7 linked regions of the Callithrix jacchus genome follow. The protein of the gene in region 3 purifies or fractionates together with the protein of the main gene of each other region. This does not show direct contact. Links are inferred from orthologs where the notes say so. Each region holds a gene or a part of one and is shown on either strand. Other genes may lie near its edges.

The links.
Region 1: the proteins of HSP90AB1 (region 3) and CTNNB1 purify together in Homo sapiens (affinity purification with mass spectrometry; 3 studies listed by BioGRID, with this or other methods). This does not show direct contact. The link is inferred for Callithrix jacchus from reciprocal best matches to the Homo sapiens genes HSP90AB1 and CTNNB1.
Region 2: the proteins of HSP90AB1 (region 3) and AHSA1 purify together in Homo sapiens (affinity purification with mass spectrometry; 6 studies listed by BioGRID and IntAct, with this or other methods). This does not show direct contact. The link is inferred for Callithrix jacchus from reciprocal best matches to the Homo sapiens genes HSP90AB1 and AHSA1.
Region 4: the proteins of HSP90AB1 (region 3) and PRKCE purify together in Homo sapiens (co-immunoprecipitation; 3 studies listed by BioGRID and IntAct, with this or other methods). This does not show direct contact. The link is inferred for Callithrix jacchus from reciprocal best matches to the Homo sapiens genes HSP90AB1 and PRKCE.
Region 5: the proteins of HSP90AB1 (region 3) and EGLN1 purify together in Homo sapiens (affinity purification with western blotting; 4 studies listed by BioGRID, with this or other methods). This does not show direct contact. The link is inferred for Callithrix jacchus from reciprocal best matches to the Homo sapiens genes HSP90AB1 and EGLN1.
Region 6: the proteins of HSP90AB1 (region 3) and CCDC117 purify together in Homo sapiens (affinity purification with mass spectrometry; 3 studies listed by BioGRID and IntAct, counting the BioPlex papers as one, with this or other methods). This does not show direct contact. The link is inferred for Callithrix jacchus from reciprocal best matches to the Homo sapiens genes HSP90AB1 and CCDC117.
Region 7: the proteins of HSP90AB1 (region 3) and CDC37 purify together in Homo sapiens (co-immunoprecipitation; 12 studies listed by BioGRID and IntAct, with this or other methods). This does not show direct contact. The link is inferred for Callithrix jacchus from reciprocal best matches to the Homo sapiens genes HSP90AB1 and CDC37.

Annotation. Positions count from the first base shown.
Region 1 is NC_133518.1:79,019,669-79,023,168, forward strand, and holds part of CTNNB1 (catenin beta-1), read left to right. Parts: intron 1-1,536; 5' UTR 1,537-1,584; coding exon 1,585-1,597; intron 1,598-1,704; exon of another isoform or gene 1,705-1,836; intron 1,837-2,040; coding exon 2,041-2,268; intron 2,269-2,472; coding exon 2,473-2,726; intron 2,727-2,852; coding exon 2,853-3,091; intron 3,092-3,179; coding exon 3,180-3,381; intron 3,382-3,500. UniProt on the Homo sapiens protein: Key downstream component of the canonical Wnt signaling pathway.
Region 2 is NC_133509.1:112,425,565-112,429,064, reverse strand, and holds part of AHSA1 (activator of 90 kDa heat shock protein ATPase homolog 1), read right to left. Parts: intron 3,384-3,500; coding exon 3,295-3,383; intron 2,443-3,294; coding exon 2,314-2,442; intron 1-2,313. UniProt on the Homo sapiens protein: Acts as a co-chaperone of HSP90AA1. Activates the ATPase activity of HSP90AA1 leading to increase in its chaperone activity.
Region 3 is NC_133505.1:52,710,455-52,714,718, reverse strand, and holds the start of HSP90AB1 (heat shock protein HSP 90-beta), read right to left. Parts: upstream 2,801-4,264; 5' UTR 2,665-2,800; intron 2,181-2,664; exon of another isoform or gene 2,074-2,180; intron 1,779-2,073; exon of another isoform or gene 1,605-1,778; intron 649-1,604; coding exon 502-648; intron 1-501. UniProt on the Homo sapiens protein: Molecular chaperone that promotes the maturation, structural maintenance and proper regulation of specific target proteins involved for instance in cell cycle control and signal transduction. Undergoes a functional cycle linked to its ATPase activity.
Region 4 is NC_133515.1:69,123,868-69,127,935, forward strand, and holds the start of PRKCE (protein kinase C epsilon type), read right to left. Parts: upstream 2,801-4,068; 5' UTR 1,832-2,800; coding exon 1,484-1,831; intron 1-1,483.
Region 5 is NC_133520.1:53,463,416-53,467,397, reverse strand, and holds the start of EGLN1 (egl nine homolog 1), read right to left. Parts: upstream 2,801-3,982; 5' UTR 2,390-2,800; coding exon 1,499-2,389; intron 1-1,498. UniProt on the Homo sapiens protein: Cellular oxygen sensor that catalyzes, under normoxic conditions, the post-translational formation of 4-hydroxyproline in hypoxia-inducible factor (HIF) alpha proteins.
Region 6 is NC_133502.1:199,472,479-199,474,968, reverse strand, and holds part of CCDC117 (coiled-coil domain-containing protein 117), read right to left. Parts: intron 1,186-2,490; coding exon 948-1,185; 3' UTR 1-947. UniProt on the Homo sapiens protein: Facilitates DNA repair, cell cycle progression, and cell proliferation through its interaction with CIAO2B.
Region 7 is NC_133523.1:9,592,556-9,596,848, forward strand, and holds the start of CDC37 (hsp90 co-chaperone Cdc37), read right to left. Parts: upstream 2,801-4,293; 5' UTR 2,736-2,800; coding exon 2,634-2,735; intron 1-2,633. UniProt on the Homo sapiens protein: Co-chaperone that binds to numerous kinases and promotes their interaction with the Hsp90 complex, resulting in stabilization and promotion of their activity. Inhibits HSP90AA1 ATPase activity.

The sequences.
Region 1 (3,500 bases), on a different chromosome or scaffold from region 3:
CACACAATCCTGCTTAGCAAATTATCCTAAAATAGAAGATTCTCAAGGACCGAATCACCTTTACTATTTCCTGTCCTTCATTTCGCATCGTATGTAAATTGTCAGTTGTTTCCACCATGGACACTGAACAACTGTCTGCAACTCTTGTCAGCTGTAGATGTCAAATGATCCTGGTGATTGTAAAAATCGAGTAATGGAAGCACAGTGTTAGAAATAATAAACACATACTCTTTTACATAGAGAAAATAGGACACAGTAAGGAGCTTCCTTCTTCATTAAACATTGACACGTCGCATTCATTGAAAACAAAGTCTGGACGTAGTCGCTCACGCCTATAATCCTAGCACTTTGGTAGGCTGAGGCGGGCGGATCACCTGAGGTTAGGCATTTGAGACCAGCCTCACCAACGTGGGGAAATCACGTCTCTACTAAAAATACAAAAATGAGCAGGACGTGGTGGCGGGTACCTGCAGTCCCAGCTACTGGGGAGGCTGAAACAGGAGAATCACTTGAAGCTGGGAGGCAGAGGTTGCAGTGAGCCGAGGTTACACCACTGTACTCCAGCCTGGGGAACATACCAAAACTGTCTTCAGGAAAAAATAAAAGAAAAACACAGATCACACTTACATATTTTATTCCATATCTTTACATACCCAGTATGTTTGTAGTTCAAGATGAATTTGTTTGGGACAGATTCTGTAATAAAGGAAATTTTGTTATTAGAAATACCTAGAGGCCTGTAAGTCCTTAAACTGTTCTCATTTGCAAATAGTTTCCTGTGTGAGGCAGTGTTTTTTTCTGAATGTTGCATAATAAAGTAAAAATACATACATTAGATGTTAAGATTTATATATATGATATTAATCAAAATAATACCTATCCCTGTTGGTGGTAACTGTATTTATAATAAATCATTGCTGTAAATTTGAACTTAGAAAAATTTCACTCATAAAGGTGCTTTTGTATTGCAAACTTTCATTTGAAAATTAATTTTTCTTTGTACTAAAAATCTTAAAATTTACCAGTCATCAAAGTTTGCTTTACGAGAAATAATTTTTGATGGCACTATATCAGCAAAGAAAACAACTAACTTGTTAATGAAAATGTGGTGTTTTAAAAATCCCTTTGGACCTCTGTTATCCAAAGGGGGATCTGTGAATTTTTCCCTGAAAGGTTGCAAAAGGAGAGACCTTTAGGAATTCAGAGAGCAGCTGATTTTTGAATAGTTTTTTCCCCTTCCCTAGATTTTATTATTATCTCATCACCATCCTGAATATCTGTAACTTAAATTTCTGCTGTTAATAAAAAGACATGTTTGGTAAGGAGGAGTTTTCACTGAAGTTCAGCAGTGATGGAGCAGTGGTTGAGGTGTCTGGAGGAGACCTTGAGGTCTGCATTTCACTAAATAACCTGGTAAATGAGGACATGGGGTGTTTTTATGGGCGTAGTAATGACATTTAACCGGTATCCCAGTGAATTAGGAGTATCAATCAAACTAGATTTAAATCCTAATGACTTTTGATTAACTTTTTTTAGGGTATCTGAAGTATACCATACAACTGTTTTGAAAATCCAGCGTGGACAATGGCCACTCAAGGTTTGTGTCGTCAATCTTTCGTTACTGAATTGGGGCTCTGCTTCGTTGCCATTAAGCCAGTCTGGCTGAGATCCCCCTGCTTTCCTCTCTCCCTGCTTACTTGTCAGGCTACCTTTTGCTCCATTTTCTGCTCACTCCTCCTAATGGCTTGGTGAAATAGCAAACAAGCCACCAGCAGGAATCTAGTCTGGATGACTGCTTCTGGACCCTGGATACAGTACCATTCTTCCACTGATTCAGTGAGTAACTGTTAGGTGGTCCCCAAAGGGCTTAGGTATTTCATCACTGAGCTAACCCTGGCTGTCATTCTGCTTTTCTTGGCTGTTTTTCAGATTTGACTTTATTTCTAAAAATATTTCAATGGGTCATATCACAGATTCATTTTTTAAAAATTAAAGCAACAGTTCCAATGTACTAATGGCAATACTGTTTCATATTTATAGCTGATTTGATGGAGTTGGACATGGCCATGGAACCAGACAGAAAAGCAGCTGTTAGTCACTGGCAGCAACAGTCCTACCTGGACTCTGGAATCCATTCTGGCGCCACTACCACAGCTCCTTCTCTGAGTGGTAAAGGCAATCCTGAGGAAGAGGATGTGGATACCTCCCAAGTCCTATATGAGTGGGAACAGGGGTTTTCTCAGTCCTTCACTCAAGAACAAGTAGCTGGTACAGTATTATTTTTCATTACCTTACTGAAAGTCAGAATGCAGTTTTGAGAACTAAATAGTGAATTTAGTGTATCATAGTTTAAATAAAATGTTGTGGTGAAGAAAAGGGAGTACTTGCAATGTTGCTTTTACCATTTAGGATAGCAGATACTTAGATAAATGCTGAACTATGGATAGTGAGTGTTGATTTAACCTTTTCCAGATATTGATGGACAGTATGCAATGACTCGAGCTCAGAGGGTACGAGCCGCTATGTTCCCGGAGACACTAGATGAGGGCATGCAGATCCCATCTACACAGTTTGATGCTGCTCACCCCACCAATGTCCAGCGTTTGGCTGAACCGTCACAGATGCTGAAACATGCCGTTGTAAACTTGATCAACTATCAGGATGATGCAGAACTTGCCACACGCGCAATCCCCGAACTCACAAAACTGCTCAATGATGAGGACCAGGTGAGCAGTGACATGGCTACCTTTTTAGTCTGCTTCAAAGGAAATGCTCAAAAGGAGTAGTTTCAGAATGTCCACCCAATACCAGTACTGGAAAACTAACGATGTTTCTTAATTCCTTTATTATAGGTGGTGGTGAATAAGGCTGCAGTTATGGTCCATCAGCTTTCTAAAAAGGAAGCTTCCAGACACGCTATCATGCGTTCTCCTCAGATGGTGTCTGCTATTGTACGTACCATGCAGAATACAAATGATGTAGAAACAGCTCGTTGTACTGCTGGGACCTTGCATAACCTTTCCCATCATCGGGAGGGCTTGCTGGCCATCTTTAAATCTGGAGGCATTCCTGCCCTGGTGAAAATGCTTGGGTAAGAAAACATTGTCAGAATGCTTGAAGCTAAAAAGTAGAAGAGTATAGTCATAGTATTTCTCATGAGGCTTGTTTCTTCTTCCCAGTTCACCAGTGGATTCTGTGTTGTTTTATGCCATTACAACTCTCCACAACCTTTTGTTACACCAAGAAGGAGCCAAAATGGCAGTGCGTTTAGCTGGCGGGCTGCAGAAAATGGTTGCCTTGCTCAACAAAACAAATGTTAAATTCTTGGCTATTACGACAGACTGCCTTCAAATTTTAGCTTATGGCAACCAAGAAAGCAAGGTAAGAGAATTGTTCTTTATGTGGTTTTCATGGAGCATCAGGGACTGACAGTGTCATATCATTCCATGCAGTGTTCCTAACCTTTTTGGCATCAGACACCAGTTTCGTGGAAAACATTT
Region 2 (3,500 bases), on a different chromosome or scaffold from region 3:
AAAAAAAAAAAAGAGGCAGAAGATACATGCCTTTCAGTGGGACCCAGGGACAAATGCCAGCTGAAGGGTGCATGCCTTAACTCTTTCCCTCTATTCTGTTTTTCTACCAATCAGGACTTGACTTCAGGAATTCTTTCTGATTCAATGATGCCATTACTTTGTACCCATTTACTTTTCTTTCTTTTTTTTTGAGACAAAGTCTCACACTATTGCCTGGGCTGCAGTGCAATGGCATGATCTCAGCTCACTGCAACCTCCACCTCCTGGGTTCAAGCAATTCTGCTGCCTCAGCCTCCTAAGTAGCTGGAATTACAGGCACCCACCACCACGCCCGGCTAATTTTTTGTATTTTTAGTAGAGACGGGGTTTCACCATGTTGACCAGGCTGGTCTCAAACTCCTGACCTCATGATCCCCCGCCTTGGCCTCCCAGAATGCTGGGATTACAGGTGTGAGCCACTGTGCCCGGCCTACTTTACTTTTATTTATTTGAAATAGTAGATATGAGAATGAGTTTATGAAAGAAAATTCTCAAATAAATGTTCGAGACTTCAATTACCATTTCTGAGAACATGTCCCAAAGTAAAACTATTCCATATATCTTTATTTTTTTTTTTGAGATGGGTCTTGCTCTGTTGCCCAGACTGAAGTGCAGTGGCATGACCATGGCTCACTGTAGCCCCAACCACTTGGCTTCGGCGATTCTCCCACCTCAGGCTCCCGAGGAGCTGGGACTACAGGTGTATACCAGCACAGCCAGTTAATTTTTGTATTTTTTTGTAGAGACATGGCTTCACTATGTTGGCCAGGCTGGTCACAAACTCCTGGGCCCAAGTAATTCAACTGCCTCAGCCTCCCAAAGTTCTGGGATTAGAGGTGGGAGCCACTGTGCCTGGCCTACTCCATATATATTGAATCAGTATCATTTTGCTATGTTAGATTACCCAGTAGTGCCACTTTTACCTTTAAAAAATCTATTTTTTTAAAGTAGGTAATACAAATACACGGTACAAAAGAATACATGGTTAAACATGTCAGTAATCCTCCCATACAAAAGTATTGTAAAACTGAAAACTTTAGCTAGGTTGGAAGCAGAGATTCAACTGCAGTCTATGTTAGCTAAATTCAATTCAAATGAAGACTACAGTTGTGCTCCTAAGTCCTTCAAGGCAGCAGGCACACAGAGGAACAGAACCAAGTGAGCCATCAGAGGCAATCGTCAGCACAGCCAGGTCATAACACATCTCTGGAGTCAACGAAGGTAACTTTCTAAAGTACAGTATAATATTGTTTATATACATCTTTTCAAATTTCTAGAAAACCCAGTCCATTTCATTGCTTCTCCAGTTCTTGCTTTTCTAAGGGGGACAGAATTATCACGAGAGTATTTTGGGTGCAGGCACACAGACATATTAACACCAATATACTACATGGTACCTCTTAATTTATGACTGTATTTACGTTTTTATTTAAAAAACAAGATCTTGAAATTTTGTCCCAGAGTATGTGGGAAATTCCACATATCCCACCCGCTTTTGCTATCAGATAATAAAGCTGAATACAGTCATGTTTCTCAACTCCACACTGTAGCAACAGAATGGCACAAGTCAGCTGTGCAACAGAAAGAAGCCAGGAATTCTGTGCTACAGCATAACCAGGAATGGGCATTCGCTTTCCTAGTAAGATTCACTCAGTCTCCCGACTTATATGACTCAGAACTAGAACAGGCATGGTAGTGTGCACCTGTAGTCCCAGCTATTCAGGAGGCTGAGGAAGGAGGATCACCTAAGCCCAAGAGTTCAAGGCTAGCCTGGGCAACATAGCAAGACCAGGTCTTTTGTTTTTAAAATAAATAAATATGGCTGGGTACAGTGGCTCGTACCTATAATCACAGCACTTTGGGAGGCTGAGGCGGGCAGATTACTTGAGGTCAGAAGTTTGAGACCAGCCTGGCCAACATGGTGAAACCCCATCTGTACTAAAAAATAAAAAAATTAGCTGGACGTGGTGGCAGGTGCCTATAGTATCAGCTATTCAGGAGGCCGAGGCAGGAGAATCACTTGAACCCAGGAAGCAGAGGATGCAGTGAGCCAAGATCATGCCACTGCACTCCAGCCTAGGCAGGTGACGGAGCGAGACTCCATCTCAAAAAAAAAAAAAAAAAATTAGAGAGGGAAGGAAAATCCACTTTGATGAAGGCCTCATGGCTCCAGTTGTGAGTACCTCTTCTGCACACTGCTGAGGGGATAGGCCCCTACCTCAAGTCACCTAGAAGGGCAGATGGCATGAGGCATGAAGCATAAGACTTACTTACCTCTTGGGTGGTAAACACTCTATAGAGCTCCTCTGGTGACGTCAGGAAGGTTTCCCTAAGAGTGATCTTACAAGTGGGGATTTTGACTCCAACAGGTCTGGCCTGGGTTTTTGAAGGAGCAGGCTTAGCCTGTGAAAGTCATAGTGAAAATGATCAGTACAGACTAATGATACAACCTCAATCAACGTGGCTTCAGAGACAGTCATATCATTCATTCTCACAAAATTTTTCCCTTCCAAGGCTAATTATTCCAAGGGGTTAAAGGGAATTTGAGTGTGTGTTTCAGTCATGAGGGTCATGTTTCTGGAAACATCCTCAATTCCCAGTAAAAATAACCACTCTACAAGGAAGACCCTGACAGCCAAAGAACAAATCAAATCATTGAGATATTTTTGAAGAGATCAGTGTAATTCTCAGTTTCAATGCTTAAATAGCTGGAAGCAGTTTTCTCCCCACTTCCAGGATATCTACTTCACTATGCTGGCAAAAGAGCAAGAGGGCTCTAAACCAAGTGCTGAGCCTGAACCATAAAGTTCCATCTCTAGATAAAGTACTTCCTCATCCTGCAAATGGGGGAGATGGGGTGAAGACAGGATGTAACTTCATTTCTTGATGGGACCTCTAATATCAAAGTATAAAATATCAACACTCCAATTAGAAATAATACTGAAGACCTATATAGGTGAAGACCATCCTTTGTTCATAACCTCCTAATTTGGTGCTAAATGTAATCAAGAGTCTGACTTTTAATTGTCTGAGAGCTTCTACTTGCTCTAGGGGTCTGCAATAAATGAATTAAAACCAGGTTAAAGATGGGTAAACGAATACATATTACAGGCACTCTAAAAAAGCACCATGAGCAGATCATAGGCTGCTCTGGCTTCGAGGTTAGGGACACAGAGCTGGTATGTGGAATGAAGGAGGAGGCAATCTCTCAAGTTCCTTTGCAGACAGTCTCCCATCCCAGGGAAAACCATTTACCTTGCGCTCCTCAGTTTTCAGTGCTGGCTGCCCCAGTGGGTCTACTGACTCTCCATTCATTGTAGGTAAGATCATGCCCTGGGTAAACTCTGAAAAGATAAAATCCCAGCTCATGGAAGTTATTTCTTAGTAGCTGAGATTTCATTACAGCTTGACAAACACAGCCATCCTATCACAGATTGAGGTTATGACCAGAAAAGGAAAAG
Region 3 (4,264 bases):
CTGCCTCCTGGGTTTGGGTTCAAGTGAATCTCCTGCCTCAGCCTCCCAAGTAGCTGGGATTACAGGTACTCGTCACCATGCCCAGCTAATTTGTTGTTGTTCTATTTTTAGTAAAGACAGGGTTTCACCATGTTGGCCAAGCTGGTCTTGAACTCCAGGCTAGTCATGATCCACCTCCCAAAGTAGTGGGATTACAGGCATGAACCACTGCGCCCACTTTTGTTTTGTTAAAGCCCTTATCTTCAAAGAAAATCTTGGTGTATTTCTGTCAGCCTCAATCTGATTGCCCCTTATGTTGAGGCATTAGAACCATAGTTACACCAACCCACTTATCCTGGACATAGTCCCTTCCAACTTCAAAATGGCCACAAAGTAAGACAAATCTTTTTGGAATAGTTGCAGGTTTACCTCTTCAACAGTAGTCCCCAACAAAGGCCAAACTACCCCTCTCCTTCTTCCAGAATGTTAAAATATATGAAATGTGAAAACCAGAGCACTTACATCAGAAGCATTAGAAATCAACTCCCGAAGGAAAATCTCCTTGTTGGAATAGAAGGTATTGATGATGAGAGACATGAGTTGGGCAATTTCTGCCTGAAAGGCAAAAGTCTCCACCTCCTCCTCTCCATGGTGCACTTCCTCAGGCATCTAAAATAAAAATAGTAATTAATTACAAAAGAATATGAAGGCCCCATATTTAGAAATCCTAATGGTTGCCTGTCATTGGAACCTTAAAACGTGAGTTGAGTGGTGGTTTAAGCTGAGTACTATTATCCCTTCCCAAGAGACGAAAAAAGCATTCTCTTTAAAGCTCTCAGGCTACACACTAAGTGGGAAGCCAAATCAAAAGGAAAAAGAAAATAAGCTACAATGTTCTTCAACCAAATGTCACAGAACCCAGTTACTTAAAGAATGGTGGCCAACAGGCTCAGCGTCACCTGGTAGTATGGCAGAAACTCATAATCCTGGTCCAACCCAGGTATCTAGGGATCCCTGGTAATCCTTGCGCAAATTTAAATGTGAAAATCACTAGCTACGGTTCTTTATATTTGGGGGAGGTCAAAGTAACCAGTAGTTTAAGATTAAAATGGCACTAACGTTAAACCGGTCCCCCTGAGGTGTCTTCCTAAAATCAGCCTAAGGTGCAGGACTTCTGCCCCACACGGCAAAGAGGAATAATCAGATCCGTAGGCCACCAGCCCGAGGAGCAATTAAATCCAGACAAAAAAATCGAAAAACCAAAAGCTCAACCACGACCCCTTTACAGCACAGAATTACAGTACAGGACCAAACCCAACACAGGAAAGATGGTGGCCGTAGCCACCGGGCCGACTCTCGTCACTGTTGAACATGCATCGGCAGGGGCCACGCGAGGAGGGGACGCCACCATGTACCCTCCCTTCTCCCCAGCATCCGGGCACCGGGGCGGGGCGCCAGAATCCAGAAGCTTCCAGAACAATCTCAGCTCTCGAGGAGGGGCGGAGGAGGGAGCCCAAGAATCTTCCAGACCCTGCCCTCTCCCCACCCCTCCTCCACGGGGACTGCAAGAAAGATCTGGAAGGAGGAAATATGGGAGCTGGAGGCCGAAAACGCTTCTCCCTCACCGTGAGCCCTCACAGAAACAAAGCACCCAAGGCTTTCGACGCGGCCGTAAAGAGAGATGGTGAGGCCAGTCCCGCAGGGCCGTGCTGAGTCACCCCATGCGAGCACCCCCGCCACCCTGCGGTCCCCCTCCGGCGCCCTGTAGCCGCCTCCGGAAGTGGAGAAGCAAGAATGGCAGCGTCCTGGGCCGCGCGGCCACCACGTGCAGCTGCCCTCCGCCCACTCCCCCAACCCCTCAGCCCACCTCGCCACGGCTAGCAGCCGCCGAGAAAAAAGCCCACCGCCCAAGCACACAAGAGAAAACGGAGCAAAACTCAAGAGCCCTCACCTACTACCACCCTCACCCTGTAAAAATCCAGGGCGTTATCCACAGCCCACCCCGACATCTGGGCTTCCTAAAAACAGAAAAAGAAAACAGCAAAACGAAAGAGCAGTGAAGGAAAAGAAACCTGGCAGAGACTTCGGCCTTACCTTCAAAAGAAAAGGCTCACAGGTATTAGAAAGCAAGGTGGGCTGGCTGTCCAACACACACACACACACACACAGACAAGAGCAGCGCCGGAGCGACTCAAGAGAGCTATTTCACGCCCCAGGTCGCCCTATATAAGGCGAAGCACAGCACAGCCCCCCTCCCCCGGATCCCTCCGCCTTAAAGGAGTACCCTTGTCAACTCCGCACCTGCCACCACCAGCCCACCTTGACGTCATGGTCCGAAATAAGGGAGGGGGCAGAGAAGAACCCAAGCAGCGGGTCCACTCACACGTTTGCTTGTGACCACAGCCCCCATGTCTGCACGTCTAGGACATGACCCGCTCAAGAGCGGGGATGAGGAGTGCTCATTTGACAAAGCAGTGTCTCTACGAACGAGGACCCACTATCCTCCCTAAAAACCTGTGGGGCAGGCGTCCCCACACCCAAGGGCGGGGCTGGGGGAGGGGGACACCTAAAAAAAGCGGAGGTGGCTAACCACACCGACCGCCGCTCCCAGACGCAATCTTCTTCCTAGAATCTGCCCCACACATTTCGCATCCCGGTAGAAAGAATTGGAATTCGGGACCCAACCTTGGGCAGCCACAGATCCGACTCTCCCAGGCGCACAGGAAGGGCGGAGGCTTAGCTACGGTGGGTAGATCAGCGTTGAGAGAGGGCGCCGGCCGGGGCTGGTGGGGACTTTTTGCCGGCACGCGGCGGAAGACGCGGCGGCGGTGGCGGCACTGCGGCCTTTCCAGCAGTTTCCAGGTCTGTCTCGGCGGTCCGGCCCCCGCCCGCCCCCTCCCCGCGAGGCTCCGCCTCTCCGGCTGCTGCCCGGCGGGAGCAGAGTCTTTACGGCGACTCTGCCCGGCCTCCGGCTCTGACCGTCCGACCTACTAGCCCAATCCTCGGGGATGGGATGGAGCGTTAGGAAGGGATCGACCTACCCCTCCTTCCCCCAGTCAATCACACAACACCCGGGCACCTGGGGCGCCTCTGCGGGCGTCCACTTATGCAGACTGAGACTGGAAACAGAGTCGCTACTGGAGGGACCCCCTCCATTCCCTGCGGCCGCCACGTACACGGAGCACAGGAACATGCACCCTCCCTACGCAGGCACGTCAAGCCTTTTCCCAAGCTGTTTTGCTTTTTTTCCGCCCACTTCCCTCTTGCAGCTATTTGGACATGGGAAGGTGAGGAGTCTCCAGGAACCACTGCAGGGCAGTCAGAGCTCATGGAGGCCTCGTGACGACGCCGGCCAGAGAGCGGCTGGACAAGTTGTTCCCCTTTAGCCTTGGCGTCAGAGCGGGTAGGCCATGCCCCTGGCCAGTGAGCTGCAGACCGCCATGTCTGGCCTGGTTCAGCCCTTTTGCCTGCCTTCCAGTTGGCAAGCTGCCTTGCCTTTCCAAGGTCTCATCCGAAATCCTGCTGGACCCACAGCCCCTCCAGGAGAGAATAACCACTCCCGTGCCTTGTAGACGTCCTTCTACTCCCCTTCCTGGCCCACCCCTGGGATGCCTGGGAAGGGTTTTCCCCACGACCACCCACATCGTCCTCCCTCACCAGCCCTGTTACCCATCTACATTCCTTAACAAGCTTTGAATACCAAAAAACAAAGGCAGTCCCATGCTTTCCTCTTCATTGTCCCCGTCCACTGTCCACCTCAACGTGCCCGCCATCACTACCCCGATTTTATGTCCTTTCTCCCTTCCTTTATGGTCTGCAAAAAGCCAATGGCTGGGAGAAGTCTATAGGAAGGAGCGTTGGAGGCTCTGTTCCTGACCAAAACCGCAAACCCGAGGGAGTGTGATCCTTTAACATGCCCTCTCCTTCTAAGCAGTGGGGCCTAGCTCATTAAAAATCTGCTCCCCAGTTTACAGAGCATTCACAAAATCTCACTGTCCTGTGAGCAGATGAAAGTCAGTGTGCACTTTCTATCAACAGGAAAATGGCTTCAGTGACTCCCAGGGTCCCTCTTCTCAGAGCCCTTGCTGCACTAGCTCCCTTCCTGCTCTACAAATGGAGCAGGGATGTGATCTCACTCCTAGGACCTAAATCCAAAGCAGGAATCACTCCTGTGGGATGGGCTTCCCGAGCTGGATCCTTTCAGTGTCAAGACTCAGCAGCTTCCTGAAGACTTTCTAAATTGGAAAATCTCAAATCTTACACCAGCATATAAATTCCACTTTCT
Region 4 (4,068 bases), on a different chromosome or scaffold from region 3:
CCCTGAGGAAAGGGCCCAAAGGCCATGCATGGAAAGGAAATGGGGAACGAGTGGGAGCTCTGCTGTGGGGGCTGAGGGAAGCAGAGATGAGGGACATCTGTGAAGTAGAATGGAATGCCATGGAGTTCTTTGGGATTCCATAAAGGTTTGCCTGCTTTCCAAAGTGCAAACCACAAATCTAGAGTTCTACGCATGTGGCTTGTTGGAGCTTCCCTGTGAGACTGTAACCATGGTTTCAGGCAGACTACATCACAGCCATGAGCATAAAAACAAAAGGCTCTCTCCTATTTCTCCCTAAAACTCTGTGTCCTTGAAAAAAATATGTAAGGTGATATGCCAAAGTGATTCACGTGCAACTTCTGACCTCTAGGAGATCCATGAAGTTATCTGGTTTTCAATAAAAAGCAATTGCTCTATGCCACTTTTGAGGCTTAGAGAAATGTCTCACTTTTTGTGTAAACCAAAGAACCCTGAAAACATATATATCCAGAGGAACACTTGCACTTGCTCTTGGTGGGAACATGTCACAAACCTGAAAACACAGAAATCCATGTCCTAAATTAACACCATTCTTCCAAGAAGAGAAAAAAAAAACTAAGATCTGCTTGTCCAAGTTCCAAGATCGGATGCATTTGGTTTATAGTACATTGAGACAAGGCCTATTTCCAAATCCTTAATAGTTTAACAATGAAATTAATTAACAATTTACTCAATCTCAGACTCAGAAATCGTCTTTTATTGCACAGTAGCTTGACAATCAAAACAGAGAAATAATATAACTTTAAATAAAATTCAAAGCACTGTCTTGCAATTACCCACAAGCAGAACCTTTCTTCAAATGCAACATTCATTCTGCATGGATGGGGCAATGAATTGGACAAAACAAGCTCGGCTTATGTTTCTGGAACCATAGAGGGGACATCCTGGAGGAGGACACTTTTTTTCTACTTGTATGTCAGAAGATGAGCTAACCGCCATGCAGAAGAATACAAACACACCGGCTTCCTCCGGGAGGAAAAAATAAAGCAACTCCTCACTCGGCTAAGCAGGACAAAGCCAGGACGTGCAACAAGCCTTCAGTCAAAGGCTCCACGTGCCTTTCCAAGGACGGAGGGACCCACCCACACACAATCACACACAGCCAGCCCACCACGCGCCTGCGGAAGAAAGCCGGGTCCTCGGCCAACCTTCAGCACCAGCAGCCCAGGCTCTCCCAGTTTGGAAACCTCCCGCAGCACCACCATCTGGAGGGCACAGAGGGGGCAGAGGGCCACATCCTCTTTCCAAGTCTCATCTTCCTCGTCAATGCCTGTTTCTCCCCAACTACGAAGTGAAGTGTACCTCCCCAAGGAAACTGAGACCTGCAGGCATACACACCCCCCAGTCGTCACTGAGTCCCGGAGCCCTACGATCAAGGCCAGTGAATCTTTCCCCGGGACCCCACAACCGGGTTCCCGGACCGACGGGGAGGCCCCAGACTCACCCAGTCCTCGAAGTGGCGGCTCCCGTTCTGCAGCAGCTCCTCAAACTGGATGGTGCAGTTGGCCACGAAGTCGTCGTAGCCGATGGGGGCATCGTGAAAGACAGCCAGCTCGATCTTGCGCCCGTTGCACACATCAGTGACGAACTCGTCGTGCCAGGCCGGGCTGTTGGTCTTCTGCTTGGTGGCCGTTTGGCCGATGCGCGAGTCGTCCACATTGAGGGCAATGTAGGGGTCGAGAAGAAAAGTCTGTGGCCGGGGTCCCACCGCATGGCGCAGCGACCAGGCTGTGGGCTTCAAGCTCACGGCCTCGCAGATTTTGATCTTAAGAAGGCCATTGAACACTACCATGGTCGGGGCGGGGAGTGGGGGCCGGGGTCACTCCGTCTGCCCTGAGGGCAGGAATGAAGAACCGACGGCCCGGCGCTCCAAGCTACGGGGACTCTTGGGTCCCCTTTCGCCCCACCCCACACACTCCCTACACCTTGTGGCGTTGCGCCCTGGCGCGGGCGATTCTCAGCCAGTGCATGTATTTCCTCGCCGGATTCCTAACGGAAAACAGGGAGGGGGGAGAGCTGGGGGACGTCCGTGCTTGGAGCAAGTCTCTCCCCCCGACCACCAGCTGCACCTCCAGAAGAGAAGACGAGCTGTCGGCTCCGCTGCAAGCCGCGGGGGCTGCCTCGCCGCCTCGCTGGCTCTCCGGCTCCGGGCTGCGGGAAAGCGGGCGCCGCGCCCGGCGCTCACCTACCTTTCCGAAACATAATCCCGGGAAATTTCGACTCCGGGAGGGGGATGGGGCGGTGGGACGGGGCGGGGACGAGAACCGGGGGCGCAGATTTCAACCCGGATCCTCTTCGCACACCCAGCGCCTGCCTCTGACCGCACGGGGCGGGGGGTGGACCGAGGGATGTTCAGTCTATCCGGAGGGATGCATGTCGAGAGGAAATGGTCCTCCTCGGAGCCAAATTTTTAAAAATCCACAAGCCCTACGGCCAGCCGGGGCCGCCTCCTCCTGGGCGAAGCAGCGCCGCGCCGAAGCCGGCGATCGGGAGGCGCCAGGAGCCCAGAATCTCACATCCGCGCGGGCTCGGGAGTCCGGGCGGCCGCCGATCCGGCTCGGGGCGCAGGCCGGCACCGGGCGGTGCGCAGCGCGGCGGCGGGGCCGGGACTGCGACTCGGCTCGGCCCCACCTCCTGGGCGCCGGCGCCCGCCCGCCGCGCTCCCCGCGTCCCCGCTCTCGGCTGCCGCTCGCTCGCCGCCCGCCAGCCCGCGCTCCCCCGCGGTCTCCTCTCCCTCCGTCGGTGTGCGAGCGAGTCTCCCTCCCTCTAATGCAGGAAATGCGCAAAAGACGTCAGTGTGTGTGAGTGTGTGTGTGAGTGTGTATGTGTGCACGCGCGCGCGCGCACGGCAGTGTTTGGGGAAATAGAAAGTTTTGCCGGTTGGGGGAGCAATACGGAAAAAGTGAGCCAAGGAGAGAACGGCGGAGAGCGGGCGAGGCTGCCCGGGTCGCGGCGGCGGGCGGGGTAGCCGGGCGGGGATCCCGCGCGGGACCCAGGGGAGCGGCGGCGCTGGGCTGGGTGCCCGTGGCGCGGGCCGTGGATGGGACTCCTTTGGTCCCGACCGGGAGGCCCCGGGCTGCGCATCTATCGGGAACCCTGCGGCCAACTCAGTCTTTTAGAGCTTGGGATGGGGGAGTGGAAGGGGCCGAGTTGCCCCAAAGGCCCCGGGACCCTCCCCCTGCCCACCCCAACTCGGGTGGCTGCGGGCAGAAGCTGCCTGCGGAGTTCTGGCCGGTCTGTCACTCAGTCCCGGGACGCTGTGATACGCGGCGGTGGGGGAAGGGGGGAGGGAGGGACGAGCCTGGCTCGGGTGAGGTTTTAAACTCGATTCTTTTCTCTTGCCTTTCTTTGGCGGGGCATTCTCCCCTTTGGGATCTGTCCTGGACTTCGGAGGCTGTGAGAACTTGTTGACAAGTGAAAGCTCGGTAGAGCCCCGGCTTGGTTTGTGGTCTGTTTATTTTTTGCAAAGTGACTGTTCCTATTTACGTTGGACCTTATCGGTGCCCCTTTGTGGGACTTCGGCTCCGATCAGCGTGCTGCCAGCTGCCGTCCGGACTGCGGGGAAATGGGGCGCGCCCTCCGGGGGGCCAGCGGCTGCGTCCATGCTAATTTCCTCCGTAACCTTTAAACTCTCGCTGGAAGCCGCCGCCGCGGCTGGTCACGTGAGGCGAGCCCTGGGCTGCTGGGGAAGAATTTCCTCGGCGGGGAGCCGGGACGGGGCCGGCGGTCGGCGAGGGACTGCCCCGCGCCGGGGACTGGGAACCAGGGAGGGCAGGGCCGGGAGCGCGGGGCCCCGGGGCGTGGCCCAGCTGCGGTCCCCGCGAAGACGGCGCGGGGAAGAGGTCGGTTCTGCAGCCGGGAGCTGGGACTTATGCAAGTGGGGAAAGAAAACCTCCGCCCTCGCCCGTCTGCCAAGTCAAGTCTGGGAATTTGTAGGTATTGTGGTAAGCTGAGTGTTCATCTGGCGGGTCTGGTTTGTGTAAACCAAAATTTAAAACCCGCCTCCCAATCACTTTTTCCTCAGTGGAT
Region 5 (3,982 bases), on a different chromosome or scaffold from region 3:
ATATACTTTGGTCAGTCTTCACAGCCCTGTTCCCTCAAACTAATTTCTTTCCTGCTCTGAGCTCAGGACTTATGTTCAGATGTGTTCCATGACAACGTTCATTTTTAAAAGTATCAATGAAAAGCTAGTAAAAGACCAAGGCTGAGATTTCATCAGATCCCCCTTTTCCTTCCAGTTTAATATGATTCAACTGTTCGTAAGACTACATGAAATTAAGATGTGTGCCTTCACCCAGCAATGAAGTGGCAATACGTAAATGAGACTCCACATTGTATTTTTCCCCACAAAATTTTCATGTTTATAATTTTTCTCATTGCCTATGTTCAGCCTTCCGAGCAGCCTGAGAATCACATGTAATGACTGTCAAAACAGATGGTCTCACACACACTCCAAAAAAACCACTGGGAAGAGTCAGCATGTGTGTACAAACATGTAAGTGTGATGCTCTCCCAAGTCCATCTCTCAAAACTCACAAAATCAGACAGAGACTGATGGTGGAGGAGGGAGGCCTGGGAGTAGCTGGATATAAAGAAAAGATCAAGATCTGAGAAGCAAAATGAATAAGACCTGCAAGAGAGTATTAAGGAAGAAAGAGTGCACCGTGAGGGAGAAAAAGAGAAAATAGACTAGGTAGGAAGTGAAGAAATCTGTGGAGAAAAAAACGCAACAGTAAAGAGAAAACAAAAAGATCTCACCAAATTGGGAGGATAAAACAAGTCCTCCTGCTCCAATTTCGTGTTGTTTTTTCCAGGAAGCTACAAAACAGTTCTTTTTCAACAGAAGGATAACATTAACAAAGCAAATAAAGGAAACCAATGCTAAAAATGTAGCCTACCTACACAGAGAGATCCGAAAACGGAAATACTTCTTTTCCCTTTTTGTAATGGGTTTCAAAACAGTAGGAACAGGGAGAGGGTAGGAGCTATAAGAGGGGGAGGGGAGTAGCCACGCTCTTCCTGAATATGGAGAGTCTTTCGACTAAACGCTTAAATTTACCTTTTTGTGGTCAGCCGGCAAATTCTTAACTGAACACAGCGTTTGACTCTCAATCAAAATGTGACGAGTGATTCAGACAGCACAGGAAATTTAAGTGCTTATGCAAACACAAGACAGATGCAGCATCAGGACTTGCTTTGGGTGGTACTCTAACACCCCCTCACTGGGTGGCTAAAACGCCACTAAGGAATGAATTGTGACTAACAGTGGAATGGAAGAAAAGAAGAAAGTAGCAAAGTTAAAGCGCCTACGTTTAGCCAGAAAACTATGCAATTAGCCGGAGAAGTCTGTGGACTGGCAGTAAGTGGAAAACAGCGGACACAAAGCGGCTAACCAGATCAAACAGTTACCCCGAATTCTGTCCGTCTTCCTTACGGGGTGCTATACACAAAGTCCTTTCTATACAGAGGAAGGCTGCTCCTCAGCCTAGGCAGTTACCGTCACGAGAGGGGCTGCCCGCCGAGAAGGGCATGTCCAGCGCAAACCCGCAGCCCACACTTACTTTCGTCCGGCCATTGATTTTGTAGCTGCCCAGCTTCCCGTTACAGTGGCGGATCAGGTCGTCCATGCTGCTCATGAGCAGCCCAATGGTTTCGCAGCCGGGCTCCTTGCCCTCGATCCAGGTGATCTTATCGCCTCGGATGTCCTTGGACGAATCACTCTTCTGGCTGACTAGCTGCCCGTCCGTGAACTTCCCGGTGTCGTGCAGGGCGCGCACCTCGTCGCCGATCTGCTGTCCGGTCTCCTTGCCGAGGAAGTCGTCCACCACACAGATGCCGTGCTTGTTCATGCAGGGCACGATGTACTCGAGCGCCAGTTTCAGCGCCGGCAGGGGCTTCGTCTGCCCGTTGGGCCGCAGGCCGCCGCTGTGGCTCAGCGCATCCCCGGGCGTGTTGCTCGGGGGGTACAGGTTCGCCTTCTCCTGGAACAGCGACGAGCGGGCCGGCTGCTCCTCCTTCCCGGGCTCGGCCTCCGCTGCCACCGCCGAGGCCTGGCCGCCGGGGGCCGCGCGAGACGGGGACGCGGCCGCCGCGGGGTCGGCCGCGGGCTTGGCCTTTGCCTTTGCCTTGGCCGCGTCCCCGGAGGCGCTGTCCCGGCGCGCCGCTGCCTTCCTGGCCTCCCGGGCCCCGGACCTGGGCGGCGGCGCTGCAGCCGGCGGCGCGGGGCCGGAGTGCTGGTGCGGGCCCACTCCGTGGCCGAGGGCGCCCTCGCTGCCCTGGCACACGAGCTTGTGCTTCTTCCAGTCCTGACGCTGGTGCTCCTTGCAGCAGTAGAAGGAGCTGCGGCAGCGGCTGCAGCGCAGCAGGTTCTCCATCTTCCCGCATAGCTCGCAGTACTGCCGGTCTCGCTCGCTCGGGCTCGGCCCGCCGGGTCCGCCGCTGTCATTGGCCATGGCGGCGGCGGCGGCAACGGCGGCGGCTGCGCCCGAGCAGGAGGGGTGGCGGCCGGACGGCCTCGCCCGAGGCTGGGGAGCGGGGAGAGAAATCGGGGCCGTTACTGCGCCATGCACCCGCTACCCTCGCCTCAGGGAGGCCGGCACCCCGCGCCCTCGGCCCGGCCGCTTCCGAGTCCTAGGCTCCGGCGCAGAGCCGGTGGCCGCCTTAGCGCCTCATCGCCGCCGTGGGCTGAGAAAACGTGGCCTGTGCGGCGAACGGCAACCTGGGCTCGGGCGCGCGGGCCTGGGGAGCGTAAGACCGGCCCCCTCGGCCGCCGTCGCCGCCTCAGCGTCCCGGGCGGCCCGGCCCAGGCTGTGGAGGAGCGCAGGGCATGCGGGCGCCACTCGCTCTGCGCGCTCTGCACGTACACCACGGCCCCGCGGCGACCCGGGCGGGCGGCGCGCGAGGGCGGAGGGGGCGGAGGGAGGGCCGGGGGGAGGGCCGAGGGGCGGGGGCCGCGCTCACACTTGGGCGCTGGCGCGGCGCCTGGGCCGCCTGCGCTCCTCCGCACTTGGCGGGGCCGGACCTCGGCCTCAGAGCCGGGTCGCCCGCCCTCCGTCCACCCGGGGCGGGGCCGGGACGCAGAGGCCGGTGAGCTGCCTCAGCCCGCAGCGGCCTGCGCGGGGACGCAGAGGGGCCGGCCCGCGAGCGGCGGAAAGGCGTGGGGCCGCGCGGGCAGCGCCTACACCTGCTAGGGGAGGGCGCCGGCCGCGAGCGGGTGGCGGAGCGGCGGCGGCGGCGGCGTAATCATGGCTGCTCTTCCTGCAGGCGGGCGCGAGTTGTGCGAGGCGCGCTCGGGTTAGGGTTACAAGGTGGCTACTGTGATCCTCATTTTGTAGAGGAGGAAACGGAAATTCAGAGAAGTAAAGTAACTTGCCCAAGGTCACGCAGAACTGACTGGGACTGAATCCAGCAATCAGGCGCTCAGATTCCAAGGCTGTTTTTTCCATTGCTCCATCCAGCCTCTATTTCAAGAAGCCGTGAAATGGTTAAGAACAAAAATAAGTATTACTGTGATGTTAATCCAATCTCTTGTGCCCCGTTTCAACCTAATTTAAAGGTTATGAAATTTGAGGGTTAAAATCAAAAACATTTTTAAAACCTTTGAAATCCCGCCGAGTTCGAACCCCCATGATTGGGCTACCAAGTCAAATGAGTGCTTATTCCAATATCCAATTTAAACTGATGGAATTATCCCTGAAAAGTTAATTTTGGTAGTAAGTGAGCAGTACTACTACATTAACGACTCTCACATTTATTTTTAATAGAATCTGTGCTACGCTGATGGATACAATTCTTTGTTTTATAGAGCATAAAAACCTTTCCATAAATAAGCCAAGGATGTTTCTGCTGTTATTTGTCTTAAGAATAAAAAGGCCTGTGACTTAGAGTTTAACAGTCTTTATCGAACACTTACTGTGGAAAATTCGGTGCTAGGCTTGTGTATCACTTGAATATACTGTAACTTCAGTCCTTGAGATATAGCCTTCCAAGCTTAAAGAAGCTGCAATATGTATTTCAAAAGCAGGATGTATGGAATTACTATAAAC
Region 6 (2,490 bases), on a different chromosome or scaffold from region 3:
TCCCAGCTACTTGGGAGGCTGAGGCAGGAGAATCGCTTGAACCTGGGAGGTGGAGGCTGTGGTGGAAAAAAAAAACAAACTTGCTAATACAAGGATGTTTTTTTTTAATTATTAAAGTCATCAATGCTGGGTTTAGCTGACAAAGCACTTTCTTAGGATGAACCAAAGGATGCTTCCCCCACAGGCAATTTGCAGTTGGGTTACCTCTTAATCTTTTTAACTATCATTCAAAGTCAATTAATTTGTAAACGTTACTGAATAACTGGGCTTATCTATTATGCAAGGGAAACCAAGGAGCAACAGTGCCACAAGGCAAAAAAGCCTTGAAGGAAAAACTTTTGTGTATTTTCATTGCATTTTCAGAGTCAAAGAGGAGAGCCACAATACTATTGCTATTTAATCAACAGAGCTATATTGAATTGATAACTAAATTACAATTTGCTAAGAAATTAAATTTCTGAGCAACAGATTTAAGCTACTGCTCTCTTCCCTCCTTCTCCCCAATTATATATAGTCACCACTGTAAATAGCTTGTATCTACAAACTAGGCTGTGAGTGGATACAGTTGTAGTAGGAGCATCCTTCTTTATCATCTTTTTTAATTCAAGGAGAATATTCTCCAAGTGTCTGAATAGTCTAGACAATGTGACATATGATTTAAGTGACTCTTATACATACAGCTTCTATACTTGCCTTTGAAGAGACTGTAAACAAGCATTCCTCTAATGAGCCCCACAGAAAACTGCTTTTCCCTTGAGACAAACTTTCTTGGCAAGAAGTTGAATTCAATAAATGGCTACCCAAAATGATAATCCCACCCCCAAATCACAGGTGGAGATATTATTACACCCGTTTCATAAAACTTTCAAGTCCCTATACTATGCAAAGAGGCTCATAACTGAACACAGGATTCTTCTAACATTTGACTTTAGTGTAGAAATTGGCTTCTAGAGTTCCATCTCTTCTTCTGTGCTAGTAGCTGTCTCCAAACTATCATAAAGAGACATTCCTGTTTGCCGAGGTTCCAAAAACAGTTCAGTTCTCTGAGGGAAGGCAGTGCCAGCAGCTGCATGTTTATCTTGGCTCTCTCCTGTATAGTTTTTAGCATTAGAGGATGGCTTTGGCTTATCAGAAAGGAGTTCAGGGAGGGGTTTCCAGAGAACAAGCTCCATGGAAGGACGGCTCCTAAGACATAAAATACAGATTTTTATCAAAAAATTTTAGGACATGAAAACTGTATGTTGAAAAGCAAACATTACCTAATACCTTAGGGACTGATTGTATCAAAACAGGAGATTCAGAACATACAAACTGATCTTTACTTTCTTTCCTTTTTTTTTTTTTTTTTAAGAGATGAGGTCTTGCTGTGTTGTCCAGGGTGGGGTACAGTGACACAATCATAGCTCACTGCAGCCTTTAACTCCTGGGCTCAAGCAATCTACCCACTTCAGCCTTCCCAGTAATTAGGACTACAGGCACAACACCACCTTGCCTGGCTCCAATTGACCTTTAGAAGGCCCCTCAAATACATAAAATTGCACATTTCAACATGCATGTTTAACCAAATCGTGTGGTTGTAATGATGCTGTGATTATAAGTATTTAAACATCCAATGTGACAACATAGAGCCCTTGATTGTTAGAAATTTTTTTAAATTGTGGTTAATATTTGATATAGGCAGCTAGCTTACACTAAATCATTATACATGAAAGGAAACACTGGACAAACATACTTAAAAGTATTTCAGATGCTTTTTGCTTAGTTCAGGTACAAAGTATAATGCTTCATGGGCTGGTCATGGTGGCTCACGCCTATAATCCTAGCACTCTGGGAGGCCAAGGCAGGCAGATGGTTTGAGCCCAGGAGTTAGCAAACAGCCTGGGCAATGTGGCAAATCCTAGCTCTACAAAAAATACAAAAATTAGCTGGGTGTGGTGGCAGATGCCTGCAGTACCAGCTACTCCAGAGCCTGAGGTAGATCACCTGAGCCCAGGAGGTCAAGGCTGTGGTGAGCTGTGATCATGCCACTGCACCCCAGCCTGGGCAACAGGATGAGACCCTCCCTCAAAAAAAAAAAAAAAAAAAAAAACACTTCATGGTTAAGGCAAAATGACTATGTTACAGACACACTGTGTCAGGGATGGTGTCTGACAAAGCAAAAATGAAACATTAAAACAATGAAACACCCTCCAAGACTAGCTTCTGGAAAACTACCAAGAGCAGAAAGTGCTATGTTTTAGGCTGGAGGGCAACGTGACAAGCTTACTTCTGACTAAACTATCCACCCTTAGGGCTAGGTAGTTAATTATAAACTCAAGCTAGGAACCTAATGCAAAACCTCTGTGATCAAGCTGGGCACAGTGGCTCAAGCCTGTAATCCCAGCACTTTGGGAGGCCGAGGAGGGTGGATCACAAGGTCAAGAGATCGAGACCATCCTGGTCAACACAGTGAAACCCGGTCTCTACTAAAAATACAAAAAAATTAACTGG
Region 7 (4,293 bases), on a different chromosome or scaffold from region 3:
AAAGACAAGGCCTTGCTGTGTTGCTCAGGATGATCTTGAACTTCTGGGTTCCAGTGATCCTTCTGCCTCAGCGTCCTGAGTAGCTGGGACTATAGGCATGCAACACCACATTGGACTACAGAATTTTTTTTTAATGATAAGCAATAATTATTGAAACTACTGCTGCAAAAGTATTACAGATATTAAATGAATAAGGGAACCCTTACAACAACCCTGTGAGGAGGTGGACATCATTCAGATTCTCAGGTGGGGAAACTGAGGCACAGTGATCAAACAATTCCCTGGCAGTCATCAGCACGTGAGTGATACAGACAGAGCCAAAATTTGAACCTAGTCAGGCCTGTGCTCAGAACCACAACAATCTCTCCTTCCCCTCCACAATGCTTCCTTCCAGACTTGCCCCAGGTTTTCCTGACCCAGTCTTAATTCATTCTTAAGAAAGATCTCACAAGAGGTGGGGCCATATTATCCCAGGTTTCACACGGCCTCAAAGGGGTTTCTTTTGAGTCTTGCCGCATCAAAGAAATAAGCAGCAAGGGGCAGGGCTGGGATTGGAACCCAAGCTTGCCTGCCCTTGAACCTATGCTGGAGACACTGAAGCCCCCTGCCTCCCTTAAGCACCACTACGGCCACTGGGTTCTCAGTGGCAGGACAGGGAAAGCTCCGTGCCAGACGGAGGAGGGTGTGGCAGGTATACTACGCTGCAGGAGGGGGCCCTCCCACCCGGCAGGACCAAACCATTCTCCACAGTAGTAAAGATTAACCTCTTTATGTGACAGAAATAGGTCTTCCCAAGAATAGTCTTTGGAGCTTTGCAGAAGTTTTAAATATTTCATAATAAAATGTTACACACAGCAAGAAATAGAAGCGCTAGAACTTTCTTCCCACACTCCAGTGGCTTGCTTGGCAGGTACACTACCCAGGAGACTCAGGATTTAAGGAATAGGTCTGGAGGTGGGACTGGGAGCCAGATGAAGAAACTAATGTCATATTCTGGTGTATTCTGGAAGGATGGAGAAGGGACCTTCTGGTTGTTTCTGGATAAATGATGGGGAGTTGGCCTATGGGAGGACGGGGTAAGAGAGCCTCACTAGAAGGTTCTGAGAGGTATATGCCTCTAGTTTAAGAGTACAACATGGCTGGGCACAGTGGCTTATGCCTGTAATCCCAGTACTTTGGGAGGGTGGATCACCTAAGGTAGGGAGTTCAAGATCCGCCTGATCAACATAGAGAAACCCCGTCTCTACTAAAAATACAAAATAAGCCTCTCATGGTGGCGCGTGCCTGTAATCCCAGCTACTCAAGAGACTCGAGGCAGGAGAATCACTTGAACCTGGGAGGCAGAGGATGCAGTGAGCCAAGACAGCGCCATTGCACTCCGGCCTGGGTGACAAGAAACACCATCTCAAAAAAAAAAAAAAAAGAGTACAACAGACACTGGTAAGTGGATGCAGGCGCTCTGATTTGGAGGAGCAAGAGGTTAAACCTTTAAGTCTTAGTCACCTCATTGGCTTGTGAGCACTGAGGGGGTGGTAGAATATGGATCACCCAGGTATTCTGGAGTCTGGATTTGGGGGTTCTGTTGTGGGCAGACAGACAGAAGAAGGGTTAGTGAATTTAGAATCAGACCAGGAGACTCCCTGGATAAGAGCAGGGACAATTTAGATATCAGAGAGTAGCTCATCAGGCTGGGGACATAAGGTGGGGTGGGTTTGGGATCCTGGGCTTGAGTTAGGGGAAAGTTTCCAATACTGGCTGAAGCTCATGCAGGAAGCCAGTCTGGGAGGTGGGTGGTGACAGAGTCGGCAATACCAAGTAGGGGCAGGGGCTCTGGCTGGACCGGAAGCCACGAGGGCAGGATTTCCTGGTATAATGGGAAATGCCTCTACCAGAGGCCAAAGGAGAGGCTGGAATGTGAGGCTCCATCGGGGTGGAGCTGGTAGTTAGATCCAGACGGGAACCAGGTTCCAAAACCCAAGTCCTTGGTGAGACTAAAGACCCTAAGGGGGCAAGGGTCTACACTCTAGGAAGGGGGTTCTGAGTGTGGGCAGGAGTCCCAGGCCAGAAACAAGAATATCAGGGTAGCACAGAGTTCCTTGTTCTGTTTAGAAAAGGAGCGATGACTCCGGATCTGAATGGGAACCTGGGATCAAGATCCCAGAAAGTAGATTCCAGGACAGACCAAAGTACTGGGGTTCCAAACTATAGAGGTGGGGGAGGGGGCGATCGGAGATTCCAGATAGTAAGTGGATACCCGAATAGGATCAGGATCATCCAGAAGAATTTGGGGTCCAAACCTCGAGGCAGAGTTCTCGGTGTAAACGTTAGGTCCCAGACAGAATTAGGGAGATTCCCCCCAAGACTGCTCTAGGGGAGTCTAAACTATGAAGAACTTCTACGGGGTGAATAGGGAATCCCACGAAAAAATTGGAGCGTGGGGGTGAGGGGTGGTGGAGATCCCGGGCAGGGACTCAGAGTCCCCGCGGTACTGGGGTCCCGGAGTTTAATCGTGGCTTCTGAAAGTCCAGACTATGGGAGTGAGAATCCTAGGTGTGAACAGCGGGGTCCCTGGGCAGTATCGGGGATCACAACTTCCCCCGGAGTGGGGAAAAGGATGGGCGAGCGCGCCTTACCTGGTGCCGCCAACGGAAGAGGCTGGCCGTGTCGATGTTGGGGTGCGTCTCGTCTTCATCATCAGACACCTCAATGTGGTCCCACACGCTGTAGTCCACCATCTTGCCTCGGCAGCCCAGCCCCGCTCCGGCTCGGGTGGTGGCGGTGGCGGCAGAGCTGGAGACTCGGCGAGCGAGCCCCGCCCCTTCCGCTTCCGCCCGACTGCGGGCAACCCCGCCCTCCCGTGACGTCACATCCTTAGTAACCGCGGCAGCGGCACTGGCTACCGAGCCTGCCTTAAAGGGCCCTGCGCAAGTGTTCCGGACCCCAGGAGTTCTCGCAGAGACTACCTCTTTGGGCGCTGGGTCTCAGCTAGGCCTCCTCGGGGCGGGGGCATACGTGTGGGCGCTACAACTCCAAGCCCTCCTCATCTCCCAACGCCCCGCGGTGGGCGTTTGGGGCGGCAGCGAGAGGACGGTTGATGAGGCAGAGAGGACTGTCCCCTCAGCCACGCCGCAGTGACGTCTGCAAGGGGTAGGGACAAGGGGGAAGGCTCTCCCCCGCCCCTCGTAAACGGGGACCTAAGCCTGCGCTTGAGAGGGGCGCTTGATGACTCTGACTGTCTCAGTTCGAGGAGGACTGACCTGCCCTGGGGGTGTCTAAATCGAGGGCAGTATGGCCCTCCCCTTGCGGGGTTAAACCTGGAGTGGAGATTGTGGCCCCGCCTGGGAAGCTGGGGTTTCCCCCCCTCGGACAACAGCCTTCTCCTCGTCCTCCAGCTCCTGCCATTCGCAGCGAGGACTCGCGCGCGCGCGCGCGCGCACGCACACACACACACACACACACACAAAATCTCCGGGAGACCCCCCCCAGCGGATCTCGGCGCCCCTCCCCTCGTGGCCGCTGGGTGTCGCTAGAGTCTAGGCCGCAGCGCGTACTCCTGGCCCCGCGCTCGGTGGTGGGGGATCGTGGAGGGGTGGAAGGGGGCTTTCCTTGTCGTCACAGTCTAGGGCCACGCGTAGCCCCTCCCCGTTCGTCTGGGGGTCCCCTTCCTCCGCCAGAGCTCTAAGGACTCCATTACTTTAAGCATGCCGGGCCCCAGCCTCACACTTTCATGCAACCCAATCCACGCTTTGATACCGGGATAACAGGCCGTGTTGCAGCCTCGGGCTAGGATTATCTCAGATTAACGGGTGCTCCGTCGTGGGGCAGGCTGGATAGGAGGAGCTCCAGCCACCCGGGTGAGGGGCGCCTCTTCCTAGTCTCCCCTGGAGCAGACGTTGGAGGCGCGGCCTGGAGAGAGCGAGCGAAGGTCTCCAGTTGTGGGGGGATTTCCCGGTGCATTGAGTGGGAGGGGCCATCGGACAAAAACGCCCTCCCGCCGCAGCCCCTCCTCCTCGCGCTTCATTCAAACCCGCGAGTGGGCGGGCAGCGGCGGGGGAGTCCCCCCTCCTCCCCCTCCCTCTTACTCTCCACCCTGGCAGTCCAGCACATCAGAGGCCGTCACAGCCCGAGCACGCGCGCGCACGGACCCACACCCCGGCGGCTCTCACAATCGCACACACACATACACACTCACACCAGCAAACAAAGGGTCTGGACACCCCCGTCCCCTCCCGCCCCCCAGGCCGGAGAGGGCAGGGCATCCCCTCCCCAGCCCCCCCCCGCAAGGTAAGCTTG